4 linked regions of the Drosophila melanogaster genome follow. The protein of the gene in region 3 purifies or fractionates together with the protein of the main gene of each other region. This does not show direct contact. Each region holds a gene or a part of one and is shown on either strand. Other genes may lie near its edges.

What was found.
Region 1: the proteins of numb (region 3) and aPKC purify together in Drosophila melanogaster (affinity purification with western blotting, with the first as the bait; 2 studies listed by BioGRID). This does not show direct contact.
Region 2: the proteins of numb (region 3) and AP-2alpha purify together in Drosophila melanogaster (affinity purification with western blotting; 5 studies listed by BioGRID). This does not show direct contact.
Region 4: the proteins of numb (region 3) and mira purify together in Drosophila melanogaster (affinity purification with western blotting, with the first as the bait; 2 studies listed by BioGRID). This does not show direct contact.

The regions. Positions count from the first base shown.
Region 1 is NT_033778.4:14,955,360-14,960,648, reverse strand, and holds the start of aPKC (atypical protein kinase C), read left to right. Parts: upstream 1-2,192; 5' UTR 2,193-2,405; intron 2,406-5,289. UniProt on the Drosophila melanogaster protein: Serine/threonine protein kinase which is required for apico-basal cell polarity in the germ line as well as in epithelial and neural precursor cells, for epithelial planar cell polarity and for cell proliferation.
Region 2 is NT_033779.5:408,288-414,890, reverse strand, and holds AP-2alpha (adaptor protein complex 2, alpha subunit), read left to right. Parts: upstream 1-2,005; 5' UTR 2,006-2,066; coding exon 2,067-2,166; intron 2,167-2,232; coding exon 2,233-2,444; intron 2,445-2,653; coding exon 2,654-3,109; intron 3,110-3,172; coding exon 3,173-3,762; intron 3,763-3,830; coding exon 3,831-4,764; intron 4,765-4,817; coding exon 4,818-5,101; intron 5,102-5,154; coding exon 5,155-5,359; intron 5,360-5,425; coding exon 5,426-5,503; 3' UTR 5,504-6,015; downstream 6,016-6,603. UniProt on the Drosophila melanogaster protein: Adaptins are components of the adapter complexes which link clathrin to receptors in coated vesicles. Clathrin-associated protein complexes are believed to interact with the cytoplasmic tails of membrane proteins, leading to their selection and concentration.
Region 3 is NT_033779.5:9,447,673-9,452,858, reverse strand, and holds the start of numb (numb), read right to left. Parts: upstream 3,030-5,186; 5' UTR 2,478-3,029; intron 2,264-2,477; 5' UTR 2,239-2,263; intron 1-2,238.
Region 4 is NT_033777.3:19,931,293-19,936,906, reverse strand, and holds mira (miranda), read left to right. Parts: upstream 1-1,908; 5' UTR 1,909-2,233; coding exon 2,234-4,723; 3' UTR 4,724-4,873; downstream 4,874-5,614.

The sequences.
Region 1 (5,289 bases), on a different chromosome or scaffold from region 3:
TAATTTTCCTGTTGTGCGGTTTTCGGCGATCTCACTCATGCACACTCTGATGCGAGTTTTGTGCTTAATTATGCCTGCCGCAACAACAAAAAGGTTTCACTTACCACACTCGTTTGGCGAATGACAAACACAAAACCCTTTTATACAGTAAATTACTAAAAAAACGAGGGCCTGAGGTTAAAGCATAATAAACAAGGAATACACTCTTCTTGGCTACGAATGTAGGACATTTTAGTTTTATTGGGTAAGATACTTAAACTGATACTTAGTACCCAAAATTGTTTTTACCATTTAATTTTATTGAGTATTAATATCCCTTGCAAAGTGTAGTTCTTATTCAAATTTTTCCGAGTTATCCATATATCCTTAACCATTTCATACCTGTGGTCATTCTGTTTTTCCGAACACCGATATGTAAAACAAGAAAAAAGCCAACTAACGGCCCAGCAGATATGATAACTGCCAGTCGCACTAAACAAAGTTCGTGGCTGGTGTGGGGTTTTGATGGAGAGGGTGTTACAGTTTCCGCTACCCTTTTTATGCGGCTTTGTTTTTGTTCTGGGGAGCAGGCTTCCTGATATTTTGTGGCCAGTCCACATCTTCACATATGTACATACATATCTCCGAATGACAAAAAAGAACAGTGTGTAAGGACAACATGTTGGTTGTTGTTGTTGCATACCCGGTACTTTTCAAGGGGTATGCTGTATTCGTTAAAAACAAGCGTACTCCAAGTTCTTTATTCATCTATTTTTCAGGACATATCCCAAAAATTATGCTACTTAAATATTCAATTGCCTGGTAGTGGGTAGCTTTTCTGTCGCAACACTTGACAGTCTCATTCTTTCTTGTTTTTATTCTTGTGTTATGTGGCCACGTGTGAAAAAATGCGGCTTAAAATGTATTAAAAGTATTCTGTGTGCGTCTGTTTTCCTGCGACTGTGTGTGTGTGCGTACGGGAGAGGGACATTGTCAAGGTATTACGTTACCGTTACACGCACTCCTGCATATGTTAGGATGTCCTGTCTGTGTGTTTGTATGCCGCACATGTTTTCTGTTTGTGTGCTTATTGTTGTTGTGTTGATTAGTAAATGGCTGTTGGTGAGTGTGTTTTGCATTTATACAAGCCCGTGTTTTGACTTCTCTGTTGTTGCTTCTCTTGTTTTTTGGTTTCGTTTTTTTTTTTTAATTTTTTCTTATGTTGGAAAGTGTGTTTCCGTAGAACTTCGCTTCACCTTCCGGCTTCATCTCCGCCCAGCAAAAACCTCTGCAGCTCTCCCAAAAACAAAGCAATACAAAAAGTTAGAATCTGTAAGCTAACGGTATAATTTATGCGCCTGCAATATGGCAACGCTGTCCGGCACACACTCACACACATACGCATATGTACATGAAAAACTTTTGTCCAGGTCCGAAGAACTTTTTTTGCAGCTCATAAGGTCGATACACAAGATGCCATTACCCAAGAGCGAGACAGCGATGGCCAACAGAGAATAGATGGAAGGACAGAGAGAGAGAGAGAGCGAGAGAGCATTTCCCCAGATGCCACAAAAAACAGCTGAGCCAAAGAGAAAGGTATTGCCATCCATTGAATCTAAGATGGCAATGCTAAAGCGCCGGTCTGCGGCTTTTATTTTCGCTCTCTCTCCAAAAGTGAAGTATATTCACAAGGCCACGACAGGCTGTTTGGAGCTAGAAAGAGCGGGGAAGGGAAATTTTCTTTTTCCAATCCTTGGACGAGGACTGAATTTTAGTAACATCTGCCCCACTCAGTTCCGGATCATTTGGATCACCTTCATCCATCGAAACGGATCCGGAATTGTAATTTCAGATTATAGAATTCTTACTTTACTCTTACTCTGTTTACGTGTTGGAATAAAAAATGTTTTTAAAAATTATATTTTTCATTTCTTCATTTTCGAGACAGTCATAGCAAAATAGCTTACCTAAAATGAATTGTTATAAAATATTTTTTTTAATAATAATTTTTTTATAGTCATTCATTAAAAACGTCTACTAAGAAACTACTAAAAGAACAAAACATTTTTTCTCAAATTATCTAGTTTCTTTTTTCGCTCTTGCTCTTTACTTTTTCCATTCGCCGAGACTCGCTCTCAATAGCTTTCTCCATGGCTTTCCGCTACATTCTCCCCGAAAAATTTCCCTAGCATACTTCTCTGCATCGGCATTTCACTCGCGCGTTGGCCGCTCGCCTGTGTGGAAGTGCCGTGCGGATTTCGATTCGAAGATATAACTCCCCGGGCCTTACAAACAAATACATAATTATAGATATATATATACATATACATATATATGTATACAAATATACAAGATTTTGCACAGCTAAACGGCAAATCGAGTTTCTGCGCTGTGAATTAACAAAAGAAAGCGGAAAAATCGAAGTTGTATGTCGGAAAAGGAGTACAAATCAGTGAATAACATAATTCCATATAATTATTTTCTTAAACATTTCCACTCGCTCTTCGGCAAGTCACGAAAATCTTGCGGAAAAAATCAATTGGCCCTGTGCAATATTTTTTGACTGTTCTGCCGAAGTTGTCGTACATTTCTGATTAGTTGCCATACAATTTTCCGCTGAGAGAAGGGGTCGGAAAATGGGGAGGTGGAAAGGCAATGGACGTGGAATGATTAACATAATTTTGTGAATGTTTCTTTAATGAACGTTTTTTAGTGCTGCTAATGAAGTAAAAACTTTATGAAAGAGTTACCCCAGAGATGTGATGGAATTTATGACCGTATCTCGCAAAATCAATATATTTTGAAAGATTATAATTTACCCCTTTATAAAGTATTAATAATAATAATTCATTCTTGTTAAAAAAAAAATTGAATATAAATATGGTTTTTTAGTTTCTATTAATAAAATCCTTGCTTTTATTCACTTTCTTAAAGTATAAAAACGTAAAAAACAAAACGCAGACAAAAACGCAGGTGAAATCCCACACACTAAGCATTTTTCTTTTATATTTTAAATACCTCAGTGCAATACAATTAAAGTTCTAGAACGCTTTAAAAACATACCATTTCCTATGCCTCTATCATTTTGCACTTAGACAAAGGGGAGCAACCACGATAAAAAAATCAAAGAATTGATTTCCATTTTTGTGGGTTCCCTTACACTTTTTCTGCATCACGCTGTTCACTTTTTTCCCAAATTTTTTGGCTGCTGTGCGCCAGACACTGGCAAACAAAACCACACACACTCGCACACTCACACACACTTGCAAACACATATGACGCAAAATGAGGCAGTGTGTGTGTGTGTGTGCGAGTGTGTGATGGTGTGCGAGAATCCCCACCCTAAACTTGACCTCAGGCATTTGCACTTCATCAAGCGCTTCTTGCACCTCGGCGACCGTCTGGTTGCCCAAACTTGGCCCAAACCGACTATACTATATAGACGAGATGGATCCATTTCGTATGCATACATACATATATGTAAGGCATATATGCACATATACTATATATATTTATGTACATATACATATGTATATAATATGAGTCAGTGGGCTAGTAAGAAGCTGCAGGGCGAAACAATTTCTTTTTATTCATTCTTTGCGGAAAGCGTTTTGCTGGCCAAGCTGTCGCCCTGCCATTTAAACTTGTTCGTTTCTTTTTGGCCCGAAGGCTTTCACTCGAACCAGGTGTGTGTGCGTCTCCTTTTGCCAAAGTTAAATCAGCAAATTTCCACTGCTTTTTTGGGTACCCTGGGGTTCTGTTTTTGGTCTGTGTTCCTTTTCTTTTATTTTAGGTTTGCCTATGCAGCCTCTGGCAGATTCGGTACCCAGTTCGCTTGCTAGCTGGCCCCATTATGATTGTTGGGCAAATTTTAATGATGCCATTGGGCTTAATGAAATTATTGTTAGTTCAGCAAACAAGAAAGCCCATTTCGGTATTGTTAGGGGATCAGTGCAAATGTACGGATGTGGGCGGAATTGGTTGCTGGTCATATGTATATGCCTCATTACGGATGCCTATATCATATCGTTGATGCAGAGAGAAAAAGCTATAATTATATTATATTATTAATCATACAGTAAAATGTACAACTTTGAGGACCTTATGCTTAAACTTTAAGCTTTACGAGTCTCAATACTTACATTTTATTTAAATTTGTTTAAGTTGCACATACACAACAGTGTCAAATTTTTCTAGATCCCTGAAGCTCGATTACTATCTGTTTAGCTCTGTTTTAATATAATTTGTATCCATCCATGAAGTTGTTAATATTTATAGAATAAACTAGCGTCTTTATTCACGTTTTAAGGTACATTTCGCAGATGGGCATTCTTTCTGTAAGTGGGAACTTTATGGCATTTCCATTTTGCCGCTTTTCTCTTTTTTAAGCTGTGTGAAATTTTATATCCACTGGAGGTCGAGGTGGGCGGCAGGTGGCAACTCGCCCCGCTTGACGTCACTCGGAAAAGCCAAATTGATGTTTAACTATTGATGCCTCTGGTCCGGAGTATCTGGTATCTGTTGGCCCAAAGATGGTGCCGCAGTCCTTTTGGCGAACATCGCCTGCTCAGGTTTATCGTTATGGTTTCACAGGAAACCCATCTCCCCAAACGCTTCTTTGCCAAAGTTCAAGAGTGGGCGGATGATTGAGGCGCTGGAATGGTCAATAATTCGTGGGCGTGGCGGGCTAAATATCCAAATTTGATGGGTTTCTGATGTAAGCAGTCGTGTGCTTATTTAGGCCATTGAAATTCTTGAATGAGGCCGTAAATAATAAACAATAGCTATTGGGAATATCTAATCAATAGCTTTTTGCTTTAAAAACGCAGCTTTATTGATATTAAACATTTATGGCAGCATTTTTATTAGGCCATGCAATGCAGTGAAAATATATTAAATTACCGAAAACAAAAAACAGAAAACTTAACTTAATCATGTAACAAATTGAAATCAAGAAGTATAAATAGAATAGGATTTAAAGACATCTATTGTGGGCACTTTCCCTATGCAGTAATTAACTAATCGGCTTAAAAACTTTAAAACAAAGCGTGTACTTTAAGCTTGTTAAATAATTTTCTTGTTTGTAAATCAGCTTTAATCTAGCTTAGAGCTGTGGGATTTTAGGACTTTGGTTAGTCCAACAAAAGAGGTTTCTATGGATGGAGCCAGGAAGGCTTTAGTGTAGGTGGCTGGACTGTTGGGTTGTTTGGGATGCTCTGTTCCCATCCTGGACAAACAAGCAGGCAACCAATATTCATGCTCCAATTGCAGAGAAAACAATGCCGGCGGAGTGTTTATATTTAGCAAACG
Region 2 (6,603 bases), 9.0 Mb from region 3:
TGCTTGGAGCAAAAGGTAAAAAATTCTTAAAGCGAATTGTCGTCTCTCTTCGTCCATCCCTGTGTACCCATCCCTCGAAGTAATCATTGTATTTCAACCCAACGCTCTACTGGTCACACCAATCGTTCCACCCGCGCCCGCTAGATGGCTCCACTCTTAGGCAGCGAGAGCGAAGAAAAATCAATAGAAATTTTCATTTTAGTGAATTGCCCTGCACTTGGTAATAGTTAACAAACAAATTAGCGGCAAATCAGCGAGGCGAAGCTCCAGCGAGTTGGAGTTCCATAAAGTGCAACACGCAGGGTCAAACATTCCGCAGCCAACACCCCGGATTCCGATTCCAAGCGAAGCCAACTTCAGAAGTCAGAGATTACTCTCTCTGCTCCGCCACAGAAATTCCGCAACGCTAACCGATTTTGTCCGCTGGCGAGTAAAAAAAATCGGAAAAGTAAGCTCAAAAAAAAAGAACAGCTAACATACGCCCATTAATGTTTTTGGAGGCTTCTTCGGTGCTTTTTTTTTTGGGCAAAACGCCCTCGTCATCCAGCGGTGAAAAAAGTGACGTGACATGAAAGCAAAGAAAGAAGAGAACCGAAGAGCGCAGTGAAAAACAGAAAATAAAACGAAACGGAAAGCAAAGTAAAAAGTATACTACAGAAACAAAAGCCGGTGGTCGCGCAAATCCAAATAATAATGCCCAAGTGCACATCGACTTCGCCAGGCGATAAAAAGTGGGCGAGCGAGGTCACAGAATCTTTATCAACGGGCAAAACGCTGCCAAGTTGAAAATAAATCGGTTGCCAAAAATGCGGGGGTACACTCTACTTCCACCAGAAAATGTCAAAGTTCGCCAGCCATTGGGTGCACTGGCCGGAAAATCAATCACGTAGTCCACTATTTACCGTTTAAAAGTTCTGAGTTTATTAAACATTGGATTTTTTATACATATAAATCGTTATCAGCGCTTGATGCTCAGTGAAATGTGTGGTGCATACATATTTTGTGGCGTTTTCGTTATCAAAAGTAAAACTGCAATACGGACTTTCAAAATAGAAGCTGTATCAATGTGTTGGCATGCACAATAAGCTACTCCCTGGCTAAATACAAATTGTTATCCAAAATACCTTTTGTTTGAATAATATACGTTTGTTAACACAAATACTAAAACGTAATCATAATACTAAGTTTTCCCATTCCCACAACCCACAATAAATAGAGTATCGTTTCCCCTTTCAGGTCCCAAGGAACGGCCGAGATCCAATCGAAGTAAAAAGAGCTTTGCAGAACCAGAGCGGAGAGCAACTATATATCTTAGGGTCCGACGTCGAGTTCGAGCGATAAGAACGCCTCGAGACTCGGCCGCCATCCATTGACGATTTTCTTGCGCCCCCAGTTTGCATAAAACCAGCGAAAATTAACAAGCTAACTACCATGGCGCCGGTGCGGGGGGATGGCATGAGAGGCCTGGCCGTCTTTATATCGGATATAAGGAACTGTAAGTGCAGATCTCTTGGGTAACCAGCATTAAATCCAATTGAGCGGGTCGCAACAAGAGATTTTCCATAGGGGCGGAATCAGCGCCATTACTTGATCAATTACCAGGAGCAGCGCACTGACAAAAACGTGGGGCGGTACAAAAACGCAGGAACAGTAAGCTCTCTGCCAGATGAATTACAAAATATTGGCTACTTTTCTTCTCCATTCCTATGTAAATGTTTTCGTAGTCGTTACATTAGAAAGATATGAGAAAGTTATATATATAGTTATATATATGGGTACAACACAGCAAATAGTTATATCAATGTGAATCGGTTGCCTCTCAGTATTAATAAATACTTACAATTTTGATAGTTTGATGACTTACTGTAGTACTTCGAAGCGTGCATATGTGTGTGCGCAAGAGTCCGACGCTTCACTGTATGGTATTATTATCACAGCTCGTTGTTTGCTGTATGCTCGGTTACTAGTTTCTGGTTTGTGGACAACATATAGGAGAGCAGAGGTTCCGCTGCGGATCGGTGACTGGTACTAATTGACGCCTATGTGAATCGGAGAAAATCCGCGACATGGAGAGAGCTGAAGGGTGTGAAGTCGTCTCTCCGATCGATCAATCGCGGGGTGGAAAGGAAAGCGAAGCTTCCGCAGACGAATCACTGTTGTTTTACTGTGAATCTCCCTTATACCCGCATAAGACACAAATTTCTATACTAATATTCACCCATTTGCCCACAGGCAAAAGCAAAGAGGCCGAAGTCAAACGCATAAACAAGGAGTTGGCCAATATACGAAGCAAATTTAAAGGAGACAAAACCCTCGACGGCTATCAGAAAAAGAAATATGTCTGTAAGCTGTTATTCATATTTCTCCTCGGCCATGACATCGACTTCGGGCACATGGAGGCGGTCAATTTGCTGTCCTCCAACAAATACTCAGAAAAGCAGATTGTGAGTACCCCAAAAAATTGCTTCAATAATCATTTGTTTATTTAGCGAGTCGAAATAATTGAACTGAAAGCAGACGACTCTGCTTGTGGGAAAAGGGAATTTCATTCAATTAAATTTAACTTGTCGTTGTTTGAAGTTTGATAAAAATAATTAAAAAATTGGTTTTTTAAATTTAATGTTACTGATAAAATCTGTTTTTTGAACTTTAGGGTTACCTTTTCATCTCAGTGTTGGTGAACACCAACAGCGACCTTATTCGGCTGATCATCCAATCTATAAAGAATGATTTGCAGTCGCGTAATCCTGTGCACGTTAATCTGGCACTACAATGCATTGCCAACATTGGAAGTCGGGATATGGCCGAGTCCTTTTCCAACGAAATACCCAAGCTACTCGTCTCGGGCGACACCATGGACGTGGTGAAGCAGTCGGCGGCGCTATGCCTGCTCCGCCTGTTCCGCTCCTCGCCGGACATCATTCCCGGTGGTGAGTGGACTTCGCGCATTATCCATTTGCTCAATGATCAGCACATGGGAGTGGTCACAGCGGCCACCTCGCTGATCGACGCCTTGGTGAAGCGCAATCCGGACGAGTACAAGGGTTGTGTTAATTTGGCTGTTTCACGCTTATCCCGGATCGTAACAGCCAGCTACACGGATCTTCAGGTACGATTTAATGCATTTTTTAAGGTAAGAAACTTCTAATTACTAACTAAATTCGCATTGCAGGATTACACATATTACTTTGTGCCGGCTCCATGGCTATCGGTGAAACTTCTGCGATTGCTGCAAAACTACAATCCAGTGACCGAAGAGGCCGGTGTGCGGGCCCGCTTGAATGAAACTTTGGAGACGATTTTGAACAAGGCGCAAGAGCCGCCAAAGAGTAAGAAGGTGCAGCACTCTAACGCAAAGAACGCCGTGCTCTTCGAGGCCATCAACCTGATCATTCACAGCGACAGCGAGCCGAACCTTCTTGTCCGCGCTTGCAACCAGTTGGGACAGTTCCTTAGCAATCGGGAGACCAACTTGCGCTATCTGGCTCTGGAGTCCATGTGCCACCTGGCCACATCGGAGTTCTCGCACGAGGAGGTGAAGAAGCACCAGGAGGTGGTCATTTTGTCAATGAAAATGGAGAAGGACGTGTCCGTGCGCCAAATGGCGGTGGATCTTTTGTATGCCATGTGTGATCGTGGTAATGCCGAGGAAATTGTTCAGGAGATGCTCAACTATCTGGAGACGGCCGACTACTCTATTCGTGAGGAAATGGTGCTCAAGGTGGCCATTCTTGCCGAGAAGTACGCCACGGATTATACCTGGTAGGTGTTCTCTTTTTTAGCTTGTGCTTAAAAGTCTATGTGCTTTATGACAACCGCTATATTACCAGGTATGTGGACGTTATCCTCAATCTAATTCGCATTGCTGGCGACTACGTGTCTGAGGAAGTATGGTACCGCGTCATTCAGATCGTGATCAATCGCGAGGAGGTTCAAGGCTATGCCGCAAAGACTGTTTTTGAGGCGCTACAGGCCCCTGCCTGCCACGAAAACATGGTTAAAGTGGGCGGCTACATCTTGGGCGAGTTTGGCAACTTAATCGCCGGAGATTCCCGCTCAGCACCACTGGTACAATTCAAGCTACTGCACTCCAAGTACCACTTGTGCTCGCCGATGACCCGGGCCCTTCTTCTGTCCACGTACATTAAATTTATCAACCTCTTTCCGGAAATTCGTACCAATATCCAGGATGTGTTCCGCCAGCACAGCAATCTTCGATCCGCAGATGCGGAACTGCAGCAGCGAGCTAGCGAATATCTCCAGCTTAGCATAGTGGCATCGACAGACGTTTTGGCCACCGTCCTGGAGGAGATGCCATCGTTCCCGGAACGCGAGAGCTCAATTTTAGCAGTGCTAAAGAAGAAGAAGCCCGGCAGGGTGCCGGAGAACGAAATTCGCGAGTCGAAGAGCCCGGCACCCCTGACTTCTGCAGCGCAGAACAACGCCCTTGTGAACAATTCACATAGCAAGCTGAATAACAGCAACGCAAATACGGATCTGCTTGGATTAAGCACTCCGCCATCAAATAATATTGGCAGTGGTAGCAATAGCAACAGTACGCTCATTGATGTTTTGGGCGACATGTACGGCAGCAATAGTAACAACAACTCAAGTGCCGTGTACAACACGAAGAAGTTTTTGTTCAAGAACAATGGTGTTTTGTTTGAGAACGAAATGCTGCAGATCGGTGTGAAGAGCGAGTTTCGCCAGAATTTAGGACGATTAGGCCTTTTCTACGGCAACAAGACACAGGTTCCCCTGACAGTAAGTAAATTAGTTTCTGAAACATTCCAGGCATTACATTGCTCTCTTTTCAGAACTTCAATCCTGTGCTGCAATGGTCTGCCGAGGATGCGCTTAAGCTGAACGTGCAGATGAAGGTGGTGGAGCCAACCCTGGAGGCCGGCGCCCAGATCCAACAACTGTTAACCGCGGAATGCATCGAGGACTACGCCGATGCGCCAACAATCGAGATCAGTTTCCGCTACAACGGCACCCAGCAGAAGTTCAGCATTAAACTGCCATTGAGCGTTAACAAATTCTTTGAGCCTACCGAAATGAATGCGGAATCATTCTTTGCACGATGGAAGAACCTTAGCGGGTATTTAATAAGGTGTCTTTTGATAATATTCAATATTAATTGTGCATTTGTAGTGAACAACAACGGTCACAGAAAGTGTTCAAGGCTGCACAGCCACTGGATTTGCCCGGAGCCCGCAACAAGCTTATGGGCTTTGGAATGCAACTGCTGGACCAAGTGGATCCCAATCCAGACAACATGGTCTGCGCGGGCATCATTCATACGCAATCGCAACAGGTGGGCTGCCTTATGCGATTGGAGCCGAACAAGCAGGCTCAGGTGAGTAATTTATTGTTAGATACTTGGAACATAATGCCTATTGCCTATTTCTCAAATTATCAATAGATGTTCCGACTGACAGTTCGGGCAAGCAAGGAGACCGTAACTCGGGAAATCTGCGATCTGTTGACGGATCAATTCTAAGCCACAACAATCATGGACGGGGTGATGGAGACGGAGCTGCGAAGCCATGGAGCAACGGCAACCACTTTACAATGCACAATCCCAATTACCTAGAGAAATATCAAAGCATACAAGGCCCTAGAACTGTACGCGTTTAGTTATGCCAGGCACACTCCTACACTCTTCTTAAGTACCTTTCATCTTCTCCAACAGCGAGTTGATTTACCCACTGTCCTGTTTATTTGAATATTATGTTTGTAAACCTACTCTTACTTTAACCATTTTCAATTTCATGTTCCCAAACTTTTTTGTAAATGTTAAGCTCAAAAAGTTCATAGTAGAGAAACGAGAGAACATAATTAGATTATGTTTATATGTATGACAAATTATATATTGTTGCATCATTTCGAGGCAGTAGCAATTGGATATTATATACCTATATACAGATCTACATACATTCATACAAACCACATACATATACCTAGTATATACGTCGTTGTAATAAAAACAGAAATCAATATAAAACAAAAGAGAAAAGCTTGCAAGGGAATTATTAAGATGCCTGCAAATGACAAGTATGCAAATCGTTATCTAAATATTTATACATATATTGATTATTGCAATTGCATCTAAACGAAATTCATGTTTAATGTTTTTGATTGTAAAATCCAATGGAGGACCGCAAGAGCAGAAATCTCATTAAATAATAGACAAATAATTAGACAGATCCACAAAATCTCCTTGATTAATCACTGTTGAGCAACTTAAAATTTATTAACGATAGGAAAAATTTCCCTATTGAAGAAAACGAAGCAAAAATTTCAGAATATTATTATACTTATAGCAGAATTTTTTGAATGATTCTGGGTAATATTACGTTTCGTTTGTGTACCATAGATAAACTGAGAGGGGCTACTTCATGTTGTGCCGCTTCCTGAAGAGAAAGCGATCTTTGTAGCACCAAGTATTAACTAATCTGAAGCAGCAGCAGCAGTAGCCGCCAGCCATAAATCTGCTAATGACTCTCTTCAAATGCGAGACGGCTGCCGATAAAGAACAAAGAATTGTAAACTAAAATATACACTATATAGATACTGATACTGAAAACCGATAATGGAAAC
Region 3 (5,186 bases):
ACAACCAGCTGACAGACCGGAAATTGAACTGGCTCATTAAAGGCAATAAAAAAGGAGCTAGGAACGGAAATTCTCGTAATCATATCCAAGCATGCCCTTTGACATTCTTAAGGCGCTGCGGCTTTGGCCAACTTAGCCAAGCCAAGGCCAAGTTATTACCAAGTTGGCGTGTCGACTTAGTCGGGTCTTCGAGAGGCGAGAAAAGTTTTTGGCATTAATGCGAAATGTTTGCTGTTCAGCTTTACGGCTAGTTAGCTATTGGCAGGCAAGAAAAATGCCAAGTATAAACAAAAAGTTACAAACTCTCTAATACCCTTTAAGGTTCATAATTGTAATTTTTTGCAGACTTTCAAAGCAATTGCAAGTGGTTTTTATAAAAGAAATACAAGTGGGGACACCTAAAGGAATCCCCGTGTCTTCTAGGCCGATTTAATAGCGTTATTTTCTATTAAAATCTGCCTGTTAATCGACGCAGCATTTAAGTATCAACTTAATGACAAAACGTTTACATGCATAATTATCCAATTTTTTGCATTTTTAATTTCCTGCCTTAGATGTAGAATGCCAGGTGCCACATGCCCGCTGTGTCCCGTCTCCAGAGCTAAGTTAATGGCCCAGAAGTTGAAGTTCTAGCTGGCAGCCATGACTTGGAGTTAGACTTGGTCTTGGACTTGTTCCCGTGTTCTTGACTTGTCCAACGTCTCTCTTTGTTGGCAGTTGGCTGGCTGGCTGCTGCTGCTGTTGTTAATCATCGGCGTTGCAGCATAAAAATAGAAAGGAAATTCCATGAAATTAAAGTTTTATGCAGCCACAGCCGAGGCAGCGATCAAGTTGAAGTTGAAGTTGAGGTCTAACTCCTCGACTGAGTGTTGAACTTGCAGAGCGATGGGATGGAGCTCGAGGATGGGGCGCTGGAGCTTGGAGCTGAGAGCTGAGAGCTCGGTCTTAGCCAAACGTTTAGCGAAAGCCGCGTCTCGAAGAATGCAGTCGACTTGGCATAATCGAAAGGCATGTGAGAAAAGTTGGAGTCGGCTGGCTGCCAGCCAGCCACCAAACCGGTTCCATTCGACGCGGCTCCACCATCCCAGAGTTGGCTTAACTCAAGTCCAACTGCACCCAGGTAGCATTATGTTCTTACTTTTTTCCTCGGCTTGTTACCAGTTTTTTTTTTCGTTCGTGTTTCTGGCTTTTCTTGGAATGTTTCTGAATGGTTTTTGCTGGAGCTTTTTGCCTGAAGTTTTTATGAACTGCTGAGATTTATAATCTGACCAGGCTGCAAAGCATTGCTACCAAAAAAAAAAGAAAAAAGTGCAGCATAAATCAGGGAGCCCTTTTGGTGGAAACTCAAGATCTTGAAGAACATTCCGAGTAAATCAAGTTGAACAGCATAATTATGCAAAGCAAAAGTATCCCATAGTTTGCGGCTGCAAAAAACTCTCTTCTGGCGAAAGCGGGGGCCAAGTTGGCATTTAATTACACTGTTATTATAATATATTTTCACCCACTCTCGGTTGGTTTCGTTCTCAGCCGCCCCAAACCAATTCATTACTCATTTCAATGGGAAATTTTCCCCATTTTCCATTTTGCCTTTGCCACTTTTCTTTTTTTTCTTCGTTTTGTTTGTTATCGCAGTAATTTATGCAGTTGACAGTCAAATAATTTGGCACACAGTATACATTAAAATAAATTAACTTTACAAAAGAGCTGGGAGAAGAGTTTGTGGTAAGAATATGTGCATGCTTCGGCAGAAATTCATTGGATTTTAAACTGAAATGTGGGACTATATTTGAAATAGTCTAAATAGTCTTTATATACGATCGATTCGAAGAGTTGTAGTCATGCCAAATGATTCATCTTCGGAAACGTGAGAGACTGGAGACCAGTAGAATCCAGTCAATCGTAACTTTTTAGATATATATGTACGTATGTGCGTATGTATGTATGTGCGTTCATGTGATCCAGCCAAAATCAGCTAATTGCTAATTGTGTTTATATATTTCATTTGTTAACCCTCTCTCAACAATTGCTATGTTCAAGTGCAAACTGCAAAGATTTATTGAGTTTTTTAGCTGGGTAATTCATTCTAAATTACTGGTATCGCTATAACCTTAATGGATATACTCCCCCTGATTATTAAAATTAATGCCCCAAAACGTATTTTGAATACTTTAGCTTATTGCGAAGCAAAGTCTAGTATAGTGTTACATAGTTTGAACAGCTGTTTTTAGTTTTCTATACCAATGCATATTGAAGACGTCAAAAACTGGAATTATTACAAAAATGAATATTATGTTTTTACAAATGTCAAAGCAGCAACAACTAGCGTAAAGCTGTAAAAGAATTGCATATGTATATGCAAATCTGATTTTGCACCACAATAAACTCGTTTTGACTTGGCTTTAAATCCGAAGCTCAAGTTAAGCTCAACTTTGGCTGTTGTTACTGTTTTTTTTTTTTTTTTGGTTTTAAACATTTACCATATATATATCGGGATCGGTTTGTATTTGAGTTGCTTTTTTTGGTATATTCCAAAAAGCCGAGTTTTGTTGTCAGTCTGTTTTTGTTTTGATCACATTCGTATGTATAATTAATAAATAAATCCGGTTCGGGCCTTATATAACTTTCTTGCTCATTCAGTGGATTTTTGCCAACGTTTCGGTTTTAACTATTTATTAATTCCAAGAACACCTCGCACAGCACACAGCACACGGAATGTGGGGAAAATCGCGAAAAACCGAAATAACGACAACGCGACACCGATTAAAACGATCCCCGTGTTAAGAGCCCGGTGCCCGGTAAATGGATGGCTGGGATCGGCTTGGCCCAAAAGGCCTGGACTACTTAGGTGTTAACTTTTTTACTATGACCCCCCCGGAAATTGGAAAAAGGTTACACTATCCCTACGCGGACATTTGGACAACCGACGACGACAGTGGGCCGAAAGCGAATGGAAGCGGAGGGAAAACGGAACGCGTTTGTCCGGCAAGCGGTAAGCGGTTAGCTCGATGCGGCGGCTCAAATTGCTCTACTGTACTGGCTGACTCTGGCCGCACGCTCAGCGCTGTTTGAGTCGAGAGGAAAGAGTGCGAGCGTGCAAAGAGCGGAAGAGAGCGACAGCTGTTACAGGGTGTTTCGGCCTGTGTGTGTGTGCACTGAGAAAAATCGAACAAATTGGCCCTGATTTCAACTAAATGTGGTGTTAAGATCACTTTGAGGGAAGAGTGATCTTACTACTTTTCTATCGATTTGGAAAAGGTCGTCATCAAAGGGTATTGCCTTATTCTATTACGCGCTTTTAATACAACCTATTAAGCCATTATTATCATAGTGTTTTATTTTATTTATTATATTACAAGTTGTTAAGTCCTCTTAAAACTTTAAAGTGATTTTTTCAGTGCACCAGTACGTTTGTGGATTTGCTCAGTTCCATTGTGTTTATTTACTACCAACGACGACGTCGTTTTGCTTCTTCCATCTCACCTCCGCTCTGCTGCGTTTGTATTTGTTGTGATAATGATAAAACTGCGACGCGTTTCTGCAGCTTGTAGGTTTTCAAGAGTGGGAGTGAGATAGCAGAAGTTGAGCGAGCGAGAGTGGCGTTTAAGGTATCTCGGCCAGGTATAATCTCAGATGCGCTGCATTTAGAGATCGCGATTTGGTGACCGTGGCTTAAAAGATTTGCGGTTGGGATAAGTTGAGAAAATTCTTGGAAAACACGAGCTCAATTTTATTATTTAACTCTGGGAATTTCCCAAATGGGCCAGTGCTAAGATAATTACAAAGCCGGGTAGTTCAAAAAGGTCCTCTTATTGTTTTGTAATATCTCTGGCTCTCAGATTTATCGCTAACCCATACGCCTTGGATTTAAAGTTCGGAATTGTCTTTAGTCGTCTTTCTTTAGCAGCGCTCAAATTCTTGGAAACTTTGTAAAATAAATTATGAATTTTGCACGGGTGTAAAAATTACAAGTTTTAAGGATGTTATCTTTAAAAACTTGCGTAATAAAAATTACTAATCCCGAAAATTTTTTTGTCTTCGAAATCAGGATTTGAGATACCCCATTGAAGTGATAGAAGGGCATTCAAAACCAGTTGGTTTCGTTGGTTCTGCAGCTGCCAGTTTTTTCCACATGGAGTATGAAGAGCGAGTGGTTTGGTTTGAATGGAAATGATTATGGCACTCAAGAGAGTCATCAAAGAGAGTTACCAAAGACTTAGCTATTAACAAAATGCAAAAGATGGCTAGGTGGTTATGAAATCCCAACGGACATACAAAACAAATGAAAAGAATAAAAACTGATTAACTGAACAATAATCAAGGCTCGGTAATCAATGTATTGAACTTATCGATTTGAATTAGTTGCCCAACCTAAATTCCGTGACAACAATGGCAAAATGATCGATCGAAACCGTAGAACAAAAGAGCGCGCGATGCAAGGTCGTTCGCTCTTTAAGAGAAAATTGTACCCTAAGAGAAACATAGATAACTCCGAAAGATAAATACCCAAATGTGCGCGTGAGACAGTCATACATATAGATAATAAGAGAGTTTTCAGCAATGAAACGTGCGAAAAATTGCAATGCAGCAGCGACTTTAATCCAGGTAGCCCATAAAATCAGGTAGTAAAAAGAATGGTATCAAAACTATTGGGAGCAAACCATTGCTACCTACACATGGCACCCAATCGCGCCAACATTATCGCAATTTAAATGCAGAAAAAACAAAGTGCTGCAACTGATGAAAAAAGCAGACTTGCACTCAGAAAAAATGTAAATTCTTATTGCTATCATTTAATAATACAAATATTTCCAAATTTCATTAAAAGATGACATAAAATTTTCAAACTTTTTCGAGCTTGGGATAAGTTATTCAAAAAGTAATAAAATCAAAATTAACCATAATAAGTGCATACTTATGAATTGATTTACTCAAAACACGAGAAGATGTTAGTTATATAAAGCTTATGTCCATTATCATTTGACTCCATTACGTTAAAATTAAAGACGGTTATGCCTTTTTCCGTGTGTTAAATGTGTTAAAGCCATTACAGACATTACTCGACACTTTTAGATAAACCATAATGAAAACAGCTAGCACTGAATGAGGAGACCCCAGATCCCAGACAACCCACCCACCTCCCGTCGCAGACAAATAATTCCAGCTCCGCTGGTATGAACCGACAAAAG
Region 4 (5,614 bases), on a different chromosome or scaffold from region 3:
CACTCACTTTGTGTTGTGATGACATTGGCTCTGGCTCAGGAGAAGTGAGAATGGATCCCATGGAAACATCATTAGATCGCGTTACCTTATAGCGCGTTCAATGAATGGTAGTTATGCATGGACAGGCATGGGAAAATGATGTTGAAGGTGTCGCGGCGTAGGGTAAATGTCATTAACATCATTAATATTACTGTGAGTCCTGCACATCATTGGATCAGCGAATAATGAAAACCCTTTTTCGTAAAATTTCCATTTTTATTATAAGAGAGTTTGGGAAAATCAAATGCAAATATGTTTATGGGAAAATATTACCTCTATGAAACCAAAGGATGGTTTCGTAACCTTATATACATACATATTATGTACATGAACTATATAAATTGACAAAGGTTGTGAAGCATAAATATAAATTAAAAAGTAATGCTTGAGTATTAATATTCTATTGATTTCCAAACGATTTCCCTTGTCCTATGGCTCCCTACATTGTCTTTCTACATTATAATTCTTTTGCACAGCTGTGTGTGGCTGACCCACCCAGAATTTCATGCTTGTCTGCTTTAACCTAGAATTATCACCTCCCAGTTGCTAGAATCTTCCGGTCATTGTTTGCCATCAAAGGAACAACCAGCTGATTTCAGTTGGCAGTTGTGACAAACTCACTGGAGAAAAGAAGTGAAAAAATGACAGGATGCACAGGCAGCTACCGCAGGATCAGCAGGATATCATGAGGGGGTTCTCTATACAGATTATAGATGGCCGATTGCCCAACTGCCTAGCGATATCACATGAAAAATCAATTTTCCCGACGCATTTCCATTTTCCATGCAATTCATTTAGCCTCAATTCCATTCAACTCATTGCGCAGGCGCAACTCGCCCATTTCCGACGCATTTTCCTTTAATTATGCGGGCATCGGATTTCGTATCAAATTAACGAATTATGCTGGCTGCCAGCTGTGTTGGAGCTAACGGATGAGGCAGTCCATCCAGCCATCAGCTCATATCCTTGTACTCGTAGTCTCGCAATTCTCGAAAGCAATCGCATTTACTTGTAGTCCTCGAAGGAAAGGAGAAGCCCAGGCAGATGTGAGTGAGTGTGTCTCTGTTCGTCGGCAACGGCACATTTCCCATATGTACTTAAGCCGGGGAATGCGGAACCCCGTCGTCCTATCTCCACCCCTACCCATCTTGCTACCCCCACTCCGGTCTCGAACCCTCCTCGTGCTGTCTTGAACTACAATTGCAACATTTGCGCGCGCTAAAATGAAAACATTTCCTTTATATACACGAGGCCGACGTCTTGACAAACACACAGATAAGACGAACAGGGGATCAAGAACTGTGGCACGAACTACCACCAAATAAAAAAAAAATTAGGAGTCGTATAACTCGGCTTACCTGAATTCTAGATACTCTTAAAAGAGGACATTATAGAAAATATATAATATTATATGTTTAATTTAAATTGAAAAGTGGTTAAGATCAGAAGAATTATGCCGTCTGCAAATGACTTGTCTAATATTAAATTAACATTAGAATGTTTAAGGAATATGAAATTTTTGTTCAGCTAATATCTAAAAAATCCAAAATTGTCGTGATATTATTTTCTATGTCCACTAATTATTATATTCAATGTTAATGTTATTAGATTAAAATGAAAGTCCTACGAAATGAAAACCATAAACCATTTTTCGTTTGAAGATCTCGGAAATACCCAACCTGAAATGTTGGGTATATCCCACATAGGTGAAGCAATGCAGGATCGTTGAAGCGACCCCTGCTCGAGCGAGGGTTGTTTTCTTTGCCTCCCCTGGGTCTATCTCGTTTCCACACTCTATCCATCCCTTTTCCACTCGCTGTGCCAGCTGGAGGCTATGTCTGCCTCAGGGATCTTGGACAGAAGGTGAGCTCAGTTAGGTTTTGACAGCGGAACGCGTAGGTACAGTGAAACGGGTAGCAACGGGATAGCGGGTTTAGTGTAGCACAGAACGGACCACAAAGTACAGATGAATTAAATACGACTACAGACTACTACCATATTGTTAAACAGTTTACCTAAAAATCCTAAGGAAAAGATAACCAAATTAAACCGAAAGTTAAAGTTGTGTTTATGTTTGATCGTTGAGTTATTGTTATATCGAAAGTTAAACGAGCGTTGTTAATGAGACATTGATACAAAATCCGAAAAGAATCGTTACCAAGTTAAACCGAAAGTCCAAAAAACAAATTCGAAAATGTCTTTCTCCAAGGCCAAGTTGAAGCGTTTCAACGACGTGGATGTGGCCATCTGCGGTTCGCCAGCTGCGTCCAACAGCTCGGCGGGATCGGCGGGCAGTGCCACGCCCACCGCGTCTTCGGCAGCCGCTGCTCCGCCAACCGTTCAACCGGAACGCAAGGAGCAGATCGAGAAGTTCTTCAAGGACGCCGTGCGTTTCGCGTCCAGCTCGAAGGAGGCCAAGGAATTTGCCATTCCCAAGGAGGACAAAAAGTCAAAGGGATTACGTCTGTTCCGTACTCCTTCGTTGCCGCAGCGCCTACGCTTCCGTCCGACTCCCAGTCACACGGATACGGCCACCGGAAGCGGAAGTGGCGCCTCAACAGCGGCATCCACTCCTCTGCATTCGGCAGCCACCACGCCCGTAAAGGAGGCCAAGTCAGCCAGCCGTCTGAAGGGCAAGGAGGCACTCCAGTACGAAATCCGTCACAAAAACGAACTGATCGAGAGCCAGTTGAGCCAACTGGACGTGCTGCGCCGCCATGTGGATCAGTTGAAGGAAGCCGAGGCCAAGTTGCGCGAGGAGCATGAGTTGGCTACCTCCAAGACAGATCGGCTCATCGAAGCCCTGACCAGTGAGAATTTATCGCACAAAGCTCTGAACGAGCAGATGGGCCAGGAGCACGCTGATCTTTTGGAGCGTTTGGCCGCCATGGAGCAGCAGTTGCAGCAACAGCACGACGAGCATGAAAGGCAAGTGGAGGCGTTGGTTGCCGAGAGCGAGGCACTGCGTCTGGCCAACGAGCTGCTGCAGACAGCGAATGAGGATCGTCAAAAGGTGGAGGAGCAGCTGCAGGCACAACTCTCTGCTCTTCAGGCGGATGTGGCTCAGGCCCGCGAGCACTGCAGCCTGGAGCAGGCAAAGACCGCCGAGAACATTGAGCTGGTAGAGAATCTCCAGAAGACCAATGCCTCCCTGCTGGCCGACGTGGTCCAGCTGAAGCAGCAGATCGAACAGGATGCCCTGTCCTACGGACAGGAGGCCAAGAGCTGCCAGGCGGAACTGGAGTGTCTGAAGGTGGAGCGCAACACCCTGAAGAATGACTTGGCCAACAAGTGCACTCTGATCCGCTCGCTGCAAGACGAGCTTCTCGACAAGAACTGCGAGATCGATGCTCACTGCGATACCATTCGCCAGCTGTGCCGGGAACAGGCTCGCCACACCGAGCAGCAGCAGGCGGTGGCCAAGGTGCAGCAGCAGGTTGAGAGCGACCTAGAGAGCGCGGTGGAGCGCGAGAAGAGCTACTGGCGCGCCGAGCTGGACAAGCGCCAGAAGCTGGCCGAGAACGAGCTGATCAAGATCGAGCTGGAGAAGCAGGACGTGATGGTGCTGCTGGAGACCACCAATGATATGCTGCGCATGCGCGACGAGAAGCTGCAGAAATGCGAAGAGCAGTTGCGCAACGGCATCGACTACTACATCCAGCTGAGCGACGCACTGCAGCAGCAGCTGGTGCAGCTGAAGCAGGACATGGCCAAGACGATCACCGAGAAGTACAACTACCAGCTGACTTTGACCAACACCCGGGCCACCGTCAACATTCTGATGGAGCGTCTAAAGAAGTCCGATGCGGATGTGGAGCAGTACCGAGCGGAGCTGGAATCGGTGCAGTTGGCCAAGGGAGCGCTGGAGCAGAGCTATCTGGTGTTGCAGGCGGACGCAGAGCAACTGCGCCAGCAATTGACCGAGAGCCAGGATGCGCTCAACGCACTGAGATCCTCCTCCCAGACGCTGCAGAGCGAGGTATCGTTGAAGGAGTCCTTGCTCCACGAGCTGCTAGCCGGCGAGGCGGAGACGTTGGCTAAATTCAATCAGATTGCAAACTCGTTCCAGGAGCGCATCGATGGCGACGCCCAGTTGGCCCACTACCACGAGCTGCGCCGCAAGGACGAGACGCGCGAGGCCTACATGGTGGACATGAAGAAGGCGCTCGATGAATTCGCCACCGTGCTGCAGTTCGCCCAATTGGAGCTGGACAACAAGGAGCAGATGCTTGTTAAGGTGCGCGAGGAGTGCGAACAGCTCAAGCTGGAGAACATTGCCCTCAAGTCCAAGCAACCGGGATCCGCCTCTCTGCTGGGAACACCTGGCAAGGCCAACCGCTCCAATACCACCGATCTGGAGAAGATCGAGGATCTGCTGTGCGACTCGGAGCTGCGATCCGACTGCGAGAAGATCACCACGTGGCTGCTCAACTCCTCGGACAAGTGCGTGCGCCAGGATACCACCAGCGAGATCAACGAGCTCCTGTCCGCCGGCAAGTCCTCGCCCCGTCCCGCCCCCCGCACACCCAAGGCGCCGCACACCCCGCGCAGTCCGCGCACCCCCCACACCCCACGAACACCACGATCGGCGGCCAGCACTCCCAAGAAGACTGTCCTGTTCGCCGGCAAGGAGAACGTGCCCAGTCCGCCACAGAAGCAGGTGCTCAAGGCGCGCAACATCTAGGCTATTCCTTTGTAACAACTACTCTATCGTACTATTATAAATTATATACCTTAGCTAAGATCCGATTCGAAATATAATCAATACACGTTGCACACAACACAGCCAGAGGTGTTTCTGAAATCTCTTTCGAGCACTCTCCGACTAAATTCCAAATCTGATTGTTTTCTATCTTTCGCGTTTGTGTTCTGGAAATATGGGACTTACCTAATCTCATAAAAAATATCATTTTGATGCAATGCATTTTAAGGCATGAGAAATCAAATAAAAAATCTGAAAAAGGTGTCTTGGAAAGTGAGACCTTCTTTAAAGCTATTTAAATTAAATAGACTCATCTTTGAATGTAACGAAAATAATGAGAATGCATCAATTATTTTTTCCATTTATTAGCCAATTTATTCATATAAGGTCAAATTATCTGTAAAAAAAAAAAAGAAATAAAAGGTATTCTGATCTAAAATGTAGAAGTGTACAGTATCATCACCTTGAACTTCGTTCTTAAAATACGTTATATCTTGTATATGCATTTAAAAAAGCCTGTACCTAAAGAATCAGGAAATTGTTTACGTTTTTCATACCAACCCCGTGCAACTCGTTTTTGATTTCGATGTGGTGGAATTTTCTCATGCTGAAACTCCTCGTTGAAGAATGAGAAGGAAGGGGTGTGGGCTGCCATGCAATCCGATGGATTCTTGCGACGCTGATTACGCACACGTGTCCCTTGGCACCGCCTTATCCCCGATGGTTACTCGATGGGAACGGTTCCAGAGTTGCGCAGTTCCTTAGTTCCTCGAGCGAATCGGAACAGCTGCGCCTGCGCTTCCTCCTCAAGGGTGGCTTAACTCAACCGTCTTTTAAGAAGGGGCCGAAAACGAAGGGAAATGCCCATGCACC